2 linked regions of the Caenorhabditis elegans genome follow. The protein of the gene in region 1 interacts with the protein of each later gene in a pairwise test. Each region holds a gene or a part of one and is shown on either strand. Other genes may lie near its edges.

Region 1 (5,207 bases):
GACGGTAATTTCAAAAAAAAAATTAGTTTCCAGCCGCTGACAAGTCAAATTTCAAATTTTAACTACATTTAGTCCATTTTTTGAGCCGCCATAACTTTTTTTGAGAAGTTTTCAAGAAGTTTCATTATGAAATTCGGTGTTTTGAGACAATTTCAAGTCTAATAAAACAATAAAAATTTTGAATACACCACCTTTAATTCTTGAATTTTGCACAAAAAAAGCAGCGTCGCACAGAAATAGAGGCGGAGCGCGCTCTAATGATTAATCAGCTTTGAGGAGAGCGTGATTGAGCTCATTTTGAGTCCGAACCGTTAGTCCTCCTTTAAAGAGAGAGAGAGTACTGTAGTTTTCGCTACGAGATATTTTGCGCGTCAAATATGCTGCGCAATACGCATTCTCAGAATTTTGTGATCCCGAAATATTCTGTGTTCTATCAGAAAACTACCTCTGAATCTCTTTTCTCTTCTCCTCACGACGCTTCTCCTCTTCGGCCCGCTTTTCACGATCACGTTCTCGTTGACGCTCCTTCTCACGTTCTTTTTCTTTTTGCCTGGAATTTTTGAAATTTTCAATTTTTAATTATTTCTTATTCCTTCGCTCGGCACTTACAGTTCTTTCTCATGCTCTTCCTTCTCTTTTCTTCGTTTCTCTTCATGCTCCTTTGCTGCTGCTGTTGCTTCCAGCTCTTTTCTCTTATCCTCCTCCTTTTTACTAGTCTCTCCTTGCTTGTTCGAAGCGTTTTGTAGGCGATCGAACAGATCAAAAAGCCAGTCGACGAATTTCGCAGTGCTTTTTCCGATAAATAAGTTGAGATCGTCCTTCATCTGCACTTTTTCCTTCTTATTCGCAATCATTACCATAATATAATCGGGTAATTCATCGTCCACGTAGACGCCGAGCTCTTCAAGTTTGGCTCGAATCGCGGCCTGAATTAAAAAATTATTAATTTTTGCGATTTTTGAAATTTATTAACTTATTTAACGTTACCTTTAGTTTTTTCGACACTTCTGAGGTTCCTGTCCCTGTTTGAGTATTCATTTCGAACAGATTATATCTGAAAACCAAAAAAAAATCAATAAGCTAAATATCACAATTTTTGTTCCAATTTTTAAGATAATAATGTCATAGTAAGCTTTAAAAACTGATTTCAAAGTTATATTGGCTCAAGAAACTTCCGGAAGTTCACTAAAAATCACTAAAACCACAAATAATCTGGTTTTTCGAAAATATTCAAATAACGGGATAAAAACCGACACTTTGAATAAATCAGCGGCAATTTTTGTGTGAAAATTGACAGAAAATCAATAATTTAAAATAATTCAATAAATTAATTAGAAAAATTCAGGGAAAACGAATCGGAATTATACGAAAATCACGTGTATCCCTTTCTCTCTCACAATGCCAGCAGCGACAATTATTTGTCGTAAGATTCGGTGTAAAGTATGCACACACTGTGACGACAAAATGCAGATTTTTGCATAAAAGGTTTTTGTGTTTTTTAATCGATTTGCAGAGGATTTCTCAGGTTTTCTGTGTTAAAATTGAAGATTTTAAGGGTTTTTTGTCGAAAAATGCCTATTTTGTTCAATTAATCATTATAAATAACTAGAAATTAAGAAAATCGCTGGAATTTATGATTTTTCTTTATTTTTACGGACGCTTCATTTTTTTTTAAGTTTTAATCGATTTTCAGAGGATTTCAGGGTTTTTTGCCGGAAAAATGTGTATTTGGTTTATTTAATCACCAAAAATAACTGAAAATAGATTGAAATTTATGATTTCTTGTTTTTATCGATTTTCAGAGAGTTTCTTAGGTTTTCGAGCTTAAAATTTCAGATTTTCGGATTTTTTTTGCCGAAAAAATGCATATTTTGTTCATTTAATCACCAAAAACAACTAGAAATTGAGAGAATTTAATGAAATTTAATATTTAGATTTTTTTTCATTTTCAATCGATTTTTGAAGCACTTTCACAGTTTTACCAGCAATTTCCATCCTTGAAATAATTTTTTTCCAAATATTTCTAGACTGATTTCGTGGAAAACTATCGATTTTCTGTGGCTGCGTGCATTTCTGTCTGCGTCTCCCCTCGTTTTTCCTCCTCAAATCCGTTCTTGTCCACGAATTTCCGGTTTTTTTTTCCAGCTAGAGACATGCGACATTCGTCGTACGAACATGTTCCAAATCGGATAATTCCTCCGCATATTCCAATGTGAGCCGTTTTTTTTTCAAATTTTTTCCAACTTCTCGGTGTCGCAGCGGTTAGAACTTAATTATTATTTTTTTTATCACTTTTAAATAAATATTGTGGTCTTTGATTGGGCGTTTATTCATTGATTAGTACATTTATGGTCAGTGGGGCACAAATAAAAGTTAAATTTTGTGCCCCACTGACCATAAATGTACTTAAATCAACGAATAAACGCCTAATCAAAGACCACAATATTTATTAAAAAGTGATAAAAAAATAATAATTAAGTTCTAACCGCTGCAACACCGAGAAGTTGGAAAAAATTTGAGATTTTAGCTAAAAATTGGCCATTTTTTCCAAAATTTTCGAGCGGTCATAACTTTTTTTTTGAAATATTTTCAGAACGTCTCATTACGAAATTCGGTAGTTTTGGACCATTTTGGGTCTAAAAAGCAAAGTCTCAAATTTCGGTACCTCACCTCTGAGGATGAAAAAATCCGGATTTTCCGGGAAAAAAAAATAAAACTCATTTTTTTATATTTTTTCAGTGATGCTAGACGTGGCGATTTCGATAGACGTCCTGGCCCGCCGGTTCCTTCTATGAGAGCTGCAATTCTTGGAGGAAGTGATCCGTATCACGGATTTCAGCCGGTGGTGGACACCTATAATGGACCCGTAGTGGATAATTCGAGAAGACGTGGTTTCGATAAGGGGCCGTTTGGAGAGGATTTGACGACGATGGGAAGAAATGAAGGGAGACAGCCGTTGCTCAGACATGTAAGGAGCGCGATTTTGAGTCGAAAAGTTCAAAAAATCCAACTTAAAAACTCAATTTTCGCTGAAATTCCCTCCAAAACTCCCCGACCAATCAGCGATTCGCTCCGCCCATCTTTGAACCAATCAGATGGAGTGGGCGGAGTTCGAAGTCGGGGAATCCTCATTTTGAGAATTGACTTCAAAACGAGAATTCCCCGACCAATCAACGACTTCGAACTCCGCCCACTCAATCTGATTGGTTGAAGGATGGGCGGAGCGAATCGCTGATTGGTTGCGATGTGGTTTTTCTGGTTTTTAGACTTTTTTTTCGGATTTTGATGAAAATTCACGAATTAAATAGTTTCAGCCGAGACTAGACTTTGAGCACATTGGCGGAGAAATGGAAATCGCGAGAAGTCGGTCTGCATCTCCAGAAATTCAAGTTATCAGTGGTACGTTTTTAGACTGGACCCAAAATGGCCCGAAACTGCCGAAAATTTCTCAAAAAAGTGATGGCGATTCAAAAATTCGGAAAAGTAATAATAATTGTTTATTTGCCACAAGAAATAGCTACACCGGAAGACAAAGAAAAAAAGTAAAATAAAAAAGATGTGTGGACAGATAAATAAAATGACCAATTGGACCAGCTATAGCCCGGGAGGTCAAGTTGGGGGGAAGAGGGTGTCAAATGGGATAGAGCCTAGGCGCGACGCAAATGCATTTGGAGTTAACAGTTTAGGGAAACGTTTTGCTATTCGGTTCCACAACGACAAGTTAACATGTAGAAAACATTTAGACGGGACGCCACAGACAACAAGTAGATAGGGGTGACGAGTAGAGCGTGAAGCTCGAACGAACGATGATAAGGACGGGAAGTGATACTCGCTTGAAATAATTTTATGGAAGGTTCGGAGGATTTGAAGAACCCGTCTATGGTGGGTAGACAATAAATTAAATTGGGAAAGCCTGCTACTGTATGACGCGTACGATAAATTACACCTTTGAAAGACACACTTTGAGAAGCAATGGACGGACAAGACGATAATAAAGCCCGGTGGCCGTTTACCTATGCGTTAGCAACGGGAGCAGCCGAATCAACAGAGATAGGAAGTGGACGCGGTGACGAGAGAGTCACAATCTTAAGGTCGCGCACATAATAACGAATCTCGCCAGCTTGGGTATTTCTGTTATAAGCGTCAGCTCTCAACTCTCTCAGGATAGATAACATCGTTGGTCATATCGCGTCTGCAGCGGATGGGTCTTGGAAGGTTAGTGGGGCGATCAGGCAACGAACGGAGAGTTTTGGAGAAAGAGAAAATGAACGAATTGCGGTCGGCTTCAGAAGAGAAACGAATTTTTGTTGGGCGGGATAAGACTGGTTTGCGAGTTTTGACGCGGAAAGTTTGAATATGTACAGGGAGGGAGGGATTAGCGGCAATTAAATTATCGAGAAAAACCTTATCCTTGGCGGATTGTGAATCCGAGCCATCATCCGGTAGATTTTCAATCACGGCGAAATGAGTCTTCTTCTCAAACAGGGAAATGCTGGCTGCTGCTTCACGTCTTTCTGCAATGATCTCTGCTTTCTTCTCGGCTGATTGTCCCTTGAGAACATCGGCGAACAGGCGTGGAGCGGGCAAATTGGAGGTAACACGGGCAGAGCATTCGTTCGTGAGCTTGGCAACAACTACCTTGAGCTGCTCGACGGTTTGGAAGAGTTCCGATTGTTTGCTCTCCAGGGCACGACATCTGCTTTCAGCGGCGGTACGGAAGGTTCTCAAGCTCGAATTTTCCTTTTCCAATTCTTCAACACGGGTAGTGAGCAATTCAAGAGCGGTCGGGCGACCGCGCTTCCGGGTTTGCTGTTGTTTCTCCGGCGGAGAACTCGTACCGTGAGCGTCCTCCGGGAGATAAGGACCAGAGAAAGCGAAGAAATCCGTCTTCACCATAGGCACTGGGGCGGAATGAGGAGGAGGTGGTTCCGACATGACCAATGACCTGCAGCAGTTGACCGGCGTACCTCAAACTCAAACTTGGGTAATTAAACCAAATATTTTTTGCAGATGCTAAAACAATTTCCAAGTCAAAAAATTATGTATTCAGTCGGCAAGCAGCGGTGAAAGTGGTCAATGTAAAATGATGGATTACGGGAATACAAAACCTAAACTTTTTCTGAAACATTATACATATGCTGTTTAGATGCTGAAACTACCTGATTTTCATAACGAGACCGCTGAAAAAGTTTTGAGGTTTCCACAAT
Region 2 (5,053 bases), on another chromosome or scaffold:
CCGCATTTTTTTAGATCTACGTAGATCAAGCCGAAGTGAGACACTCTAACACCACGTGCGGTCACAGCTTGAAGGTACCGTGAGCAACTGGAAAAACATTGCACTATACCCCTCTTATTGCTTGGCCTAAAAAATTACATATCAAACTCCTCCTCCTCCTGGGAGGACACCTATTTCTCTGCGTCTCTCACCGTCTTTTGACTTGCAGCATTATTCATTTCCTGCCCGTGATTATTTCCATTTCCTCTTCTTTTCCGTGTCTCCATTTTTTGGAATATTATCTATTTTCATTCGATTTCCAACGTTTCCAAAAAGTTAGGTTTTGCTACTTGCTGAATTCATTTCAGCTGAATATTGCTGAATATTCAGCTGAATATTAAATTTGGTAATTTTCCCGAAAATAGGCTGTAACCTATAGAAGTAACTTTAATAGGATTCCAAACTCTCTTTGATAATGGAAGAATGACCGGAAAACCCTCGTTTAGCTGTTGATTTAAAATTCTAAAGATTTAAGAGTTTTTGGACGATTTTTTTCAAAATTAAAATTGCCGATTTATGTTTGTTCATGTTAAAAGTTATAGATAGATTTAAAAAAAACTCTTTTTTGGCTACAGTAACTTCTTCAATCAGAACTTGTGGCAACAAGCCTTCCAAGTAGGCAAGAAAATTCCTGCCTACTTCATGCCTACATGCCTACTGTCAAGCTATAAAAAACATGGTACAAACTGTAGGCAGGCGTGGTGTGGCTACGTAGGTATGAGAATGTGTCTATCGTAGAGGAACCGATCAATTAGCCTAGTGTGATATAAGATTAGTATTTCAAAAAAAATGTATTGGATTTCTTTATTTTTTTGTATTTATGGTGTTTTTGCCATTTTAGTGCTCGGTAACTTGTAACGAGCGCAATAAAAAATTACATTATCAGGTTCAGGCCTAAGGTCATCTGTCGTAAATCATGACAACAGAGCAAACGACCAGTTGTCTATTTCTCTATTCTCTCTCTTTTCTCTCTCTTTTATTCGATTTGAAAGTTGCTTTTTTTTTTGGTTTTTTTTTCGTTTTTTCGTAGAAAGTTTGGCACTTCTTAACGCCTCAAAAATTAATATTTAGATCAGATAATAATCTTTCATAACTGGACAGGTGTCTGAGGTATTACGAAAATTTGAAAAAAAAAACATTCTACGCGACCTATTTTTTTTTCTAATTTATAGGTTGTTCTATGGTAGACAGGCAAGTTCTGATGCCTACACCATGCCTGAATGTAGGTCTACGTGCCTACCTCACGCCTACCGGTACGCCTACCTGCCTGCCTACTCACCTTACGCAAAAAAGAAAAATACAAAAATATCCCATACCTCACGCCTGCTTGCATACGTGGTTACACTTTTGCCTGATTTCCGGTGTTTCTTTTAGTTTACCAGTAGGCATGTAGGCAGGCATTTTGTGGAAGGTTTCGGGTTCAAAAATTGTGTTGTTTTTTATTTCTAAAAATTTGTTTTTCTCGCCGGTAACCTGTTTCTCACACTTTGATCTTTTTTTTTTGTTTTTTTTTGTTTTTTCTTTGCACACAGTCAGAATGTCTTATTTCGGTTTGATCTTCAAAAAATGCGGGAGGTGAGACGCAGACGTCTCATCTGATTTCGCATGGATGAGAACGTGCTGACGTCACAACTTTTCTGGAAAAATATTCCCACATTTTTTGTAGATGAAACTGTAACGAGACAGTCTGACACCACTTGCTTGAATCTCTCGTCCCCCCGTCATTCTAACGCTATTTTTTCAAATTTTTTGTAATATCTCAGCATAATGTCCTCCTGCCGAGTACTCATCCTGCACCATGATCAAGAAAATGACGTCTTTGGCTGTTTTAAAAGGGAGAGCCACGAGTTCTTTTGGGCTCGCATCGAAGGGCAGCAACAATTGGAGTAAGTTGAACACACCTTTATGAGTGGAGATAGAAGAATGGCCGTGAAAAAACTCTAACACGGCCATGTGTCGATTTACGCAGCGAGTGTTCTCCTCGAGGAGAAGGTTTTACAGATTTTGAGTGGAAATTGTCGAGTTTGAATTTTTTTTAAATTAAACACTTTTTAAAATTATTAATTTATTTCGTAAACGTAGGCAAGTTGTTGCCCACTTCTGGGAAAAATTTAAATTTTAATTATTTTAGGTTGTTAAACGCGCTCTATTGATGAACCGTTGTGTACTCCATTTTTTCGCGTTTTTCTTACACTTTAAATTGAAAAAAAAAGATAAATAAAATATTAATCAGCAATTTAAATCTGAAATTTAAAACAATTTATCGGAAATGATCTACAATCAAGAATTTTACTGCAAAAATTAACAGTTCTCCACGAGGAGTACACATACAGCGTAAATCGACACATGGCCGTGCACTTTTATCATTTTTCAGGCCCCGGCCAGGTTTTTTCCTGACCTTCATCGAAAATGAGGTGATGACAGAAGATGGGGTAATGAAAATTGATGCCAGCACCTCAACCATCAAAGAACCTGAACCGGCAGATTGTGTAATCCTACCCACTCATACAAATGAACAGGTCGTATATTACAAGAGCTGGATAGCTTTCGGTGACAATCCGAACTATCTCACCTATAACAGAGATCTGGGGTACGCGGATTGGTATGGAATCGTTGATTGTTCGGATTCTCCACCTACCGGACCAGGAGTTTATAAAGCGTTCATTTATGTGTACGTTTTCAGGGGTTATCATCCAAAAAGTCGATCATTAATTGCAGAAATGACCTAAACTACCAAGAAAGCGGAAATCCACTTTTCAAAGTGACCGGGCGACTCAAATTTTTGGCAAACAAAGACACATCTGACACCATGATGAAACTGGAAATTTTCGAGCAAAACAGACTTGAAGAATTAAGGTAATTTTGATAGACTTTCGTGAATTTATCTGAATTCTAGACCTGAAAATGTTAATAAAAATTTCATGTGGGCTACAGTAGTTGTCCGTGACTTTGCGTCACAGTGTTTGCACACGATGATTTGTTTTTGTTTTTTTTGCCTTTTCAGATTGTTCTCATCTTGAAAGATGTTTTTTTAATATTTTAAACGCATTTTTCAAATGAGAAATCTGATTTTTCAACAAAAAATGCTGTATATTACTGATTTTACCATCCTAAACTCGTCAAATTTGATGAAAAATCGAGTATTTTCAAAAAAATTTGGTTTTGAAGGCGTTTTTCGGCGCAAAAAGCGGAATATTTCGTATTTAGAGTTAAAATATTTATATTTTTCTTTTTTTCGAGACGCAGACGACCACAGCCTTGAATTTTCCACGCGCATCCCCTTCACACACACACATAAACTTCAGTTTTTCTCGCGAAAAGTGCCTCAAGATTCGCTTTAAAATATGGAAATTAACAGGTTATCACCGAAAAAGATGAGCGATTCACAAGTGATCGCAATTATTCTATTTGACAACGAGGAGACAAATTCTGCGATCTGTTATTCTGAACAATTGGAATCTTCAATAAAAGTTCATCTTCCAGTCGGCTCTCCGTAAGATTTTATGTATTTCTAATCGAAAAATCGTGTTTTAAATCATTTTTTACAGTAAAAAACTGGAAAACTCGAATATCCGGGGTTTTTTGGCGAAATTTTGCCAAAATTGCCAATTTTGAAGCATTTTTCTGTGAAGTTTGCGTTTTTTATATGACGTTTTCACAGAGAAAATGGTTTTGAATTTAAATATTCTGCTATCTCTTAATTTTCCCTAAAAAATCAAGTTTTTTCATGAGAAATCGGGAAAATTTGAGTCTCAAGGGAAAAATCTCGGAAAAAGAGCGTTTTAAATTGAAAACGAGCAATTTTTACTGAAAAATCGGGATTTTCAGTTAAAAATTACAATTTCGAGCAAAATTACTCAGTTTCCGCCGATTTTTCCGGGGTTTTTTCTTTTTTACCACTTAAAAAGTGGTTTTGAGCTGTTCGTGAGCTTTCTCCAATTTTAAAGCATTTTTCTGTGAAATTTGCGCTTTTTAAGACTTTTTCACAGAAAAATAGGTTTTAAATTCAAATATTCGGCTATTTCTAAATTTTCCGTCAAAAAAATCAAGTTTTTAGGTGAGAAATTGCTGAAAACGGGATTTTTTTGTAAAAGATCTCAGAAAAAATGTTTTAAATTGGAAAAGAGCAATTTTTCGAGCGTATTTCAGAAAAATCGGAATTTTTCGTTTATTTAGTCCAGGAAATCCAATTTTTGCGTTATTTGATGTAAAAAATAGCATTTTCGAGCAAAATTATCAAATTTCCCATGATTTTTCTCGAATTTTCACACGAAAACCTCGAATTTTAGGTTTTTACCACTCAAAATACCGTTTTGAACTGTTCCTCAGTTTTAATTTCCAAATTTTCAGAGCAAAAGCCGGTCAACTCATACTTTTCACCGAGTACAACTACGAAAATGATACATATTTCCCTGATCCCCGGCCGGATGCTATAGAATACAGAGAATGTGAGATGACGAGAATTGAAAATGGCGAATTATTGGTTAGCTTTCTTCTTTTTTTTCGATATTCAGCAATATAAAATGGTATATTTTCAGATCTCTGCAAAAGCGGCATGTTCATCGATTGAAACTCACATTACTTATCCTCAGAGTGTTGCATTTGCTGATACATTTGGAAAAGTTAATGTTGCAGCAGAATCGATGGAACGAGGTGTCACGTATAGAGTGGAGTTGGCAATGTGTGTATTTTTATCGAAATTGGTGGAGCGAAATCTCCTGAAAAAACGGCTAAATTTGGCTGAAAATCACCCTCACAAAAAAACTTAAATTCGCATTCTTACTCGAAATAGGGATAAATTCTAATTAAAATCTAGAATTTTGCCAACTTTTTCTAAATTGTAGCTATCGAAAATTAATTTTCACCCAATTTCTCCACTGTTTGGCACAAAAAACTTGAAAAATTCTATTAAAGTTTCAGTACCGAAATCTGAGAAATATATTTTTAAATTACTTCAAATTTTCCCCAGATTCCGAATATCTCAATGAAAAAATTCAAAAAAATTTTCCTGATT

Evidence for each region.
Region 2: the proteins of Y61A9LA.3 (region 1) and rsd-2 interact in a two-hybrid assay, tested with the Caenorhabditis elegans proteins (one study listed by BioGRID).

The regions. Positions count from the first base shown.
Region 1 is NC_003283.11:4,568,990-4,574,196, forward strand, and holds the start of Y61A9LA.3 (C2H2-type domain-containing protein), read left to right. Parts: upstream 1-2,145; 5' UTR 2,146-2,153; coding exon 2,154-2,212; intron 2,213-2,739; coding exon 2,740-2,968; intron 2,969-3,308; coding exon 3,309-3,399; intron 3,400-4,143; coding exon of another isoform or gene 4,144-4,935; intron 4,936-5,207. Other genes in the region: sut-2 (Zinc finger CCCH domain-containing protein 14), read right to left, coding at 446-550, 610-926, 988-1,038; hpo-39 (uncharacterized protein), read right to left, coding at 4,144-4,935.
Region 2 is NC_003282.8:13,537,019-13,542,071, reverse strand, and holds the start of rsd-2 (RSD-2 domain-containing protein), read left to right. Parts: upstream 1-1,806; coding exon 1,807-1,925; intron 1,926-2,413; coding exon 2,414-2,710; intron 2,711-2,757; coding exon 2,758-2,895; intron 2,896-3,397; coding exon 3,398-3,532; intron 3,533-4,389; coding exon 4,390-4,522; intron 4,523-4,577; coding exon 4,578-4,720; intron 4,721-5,053.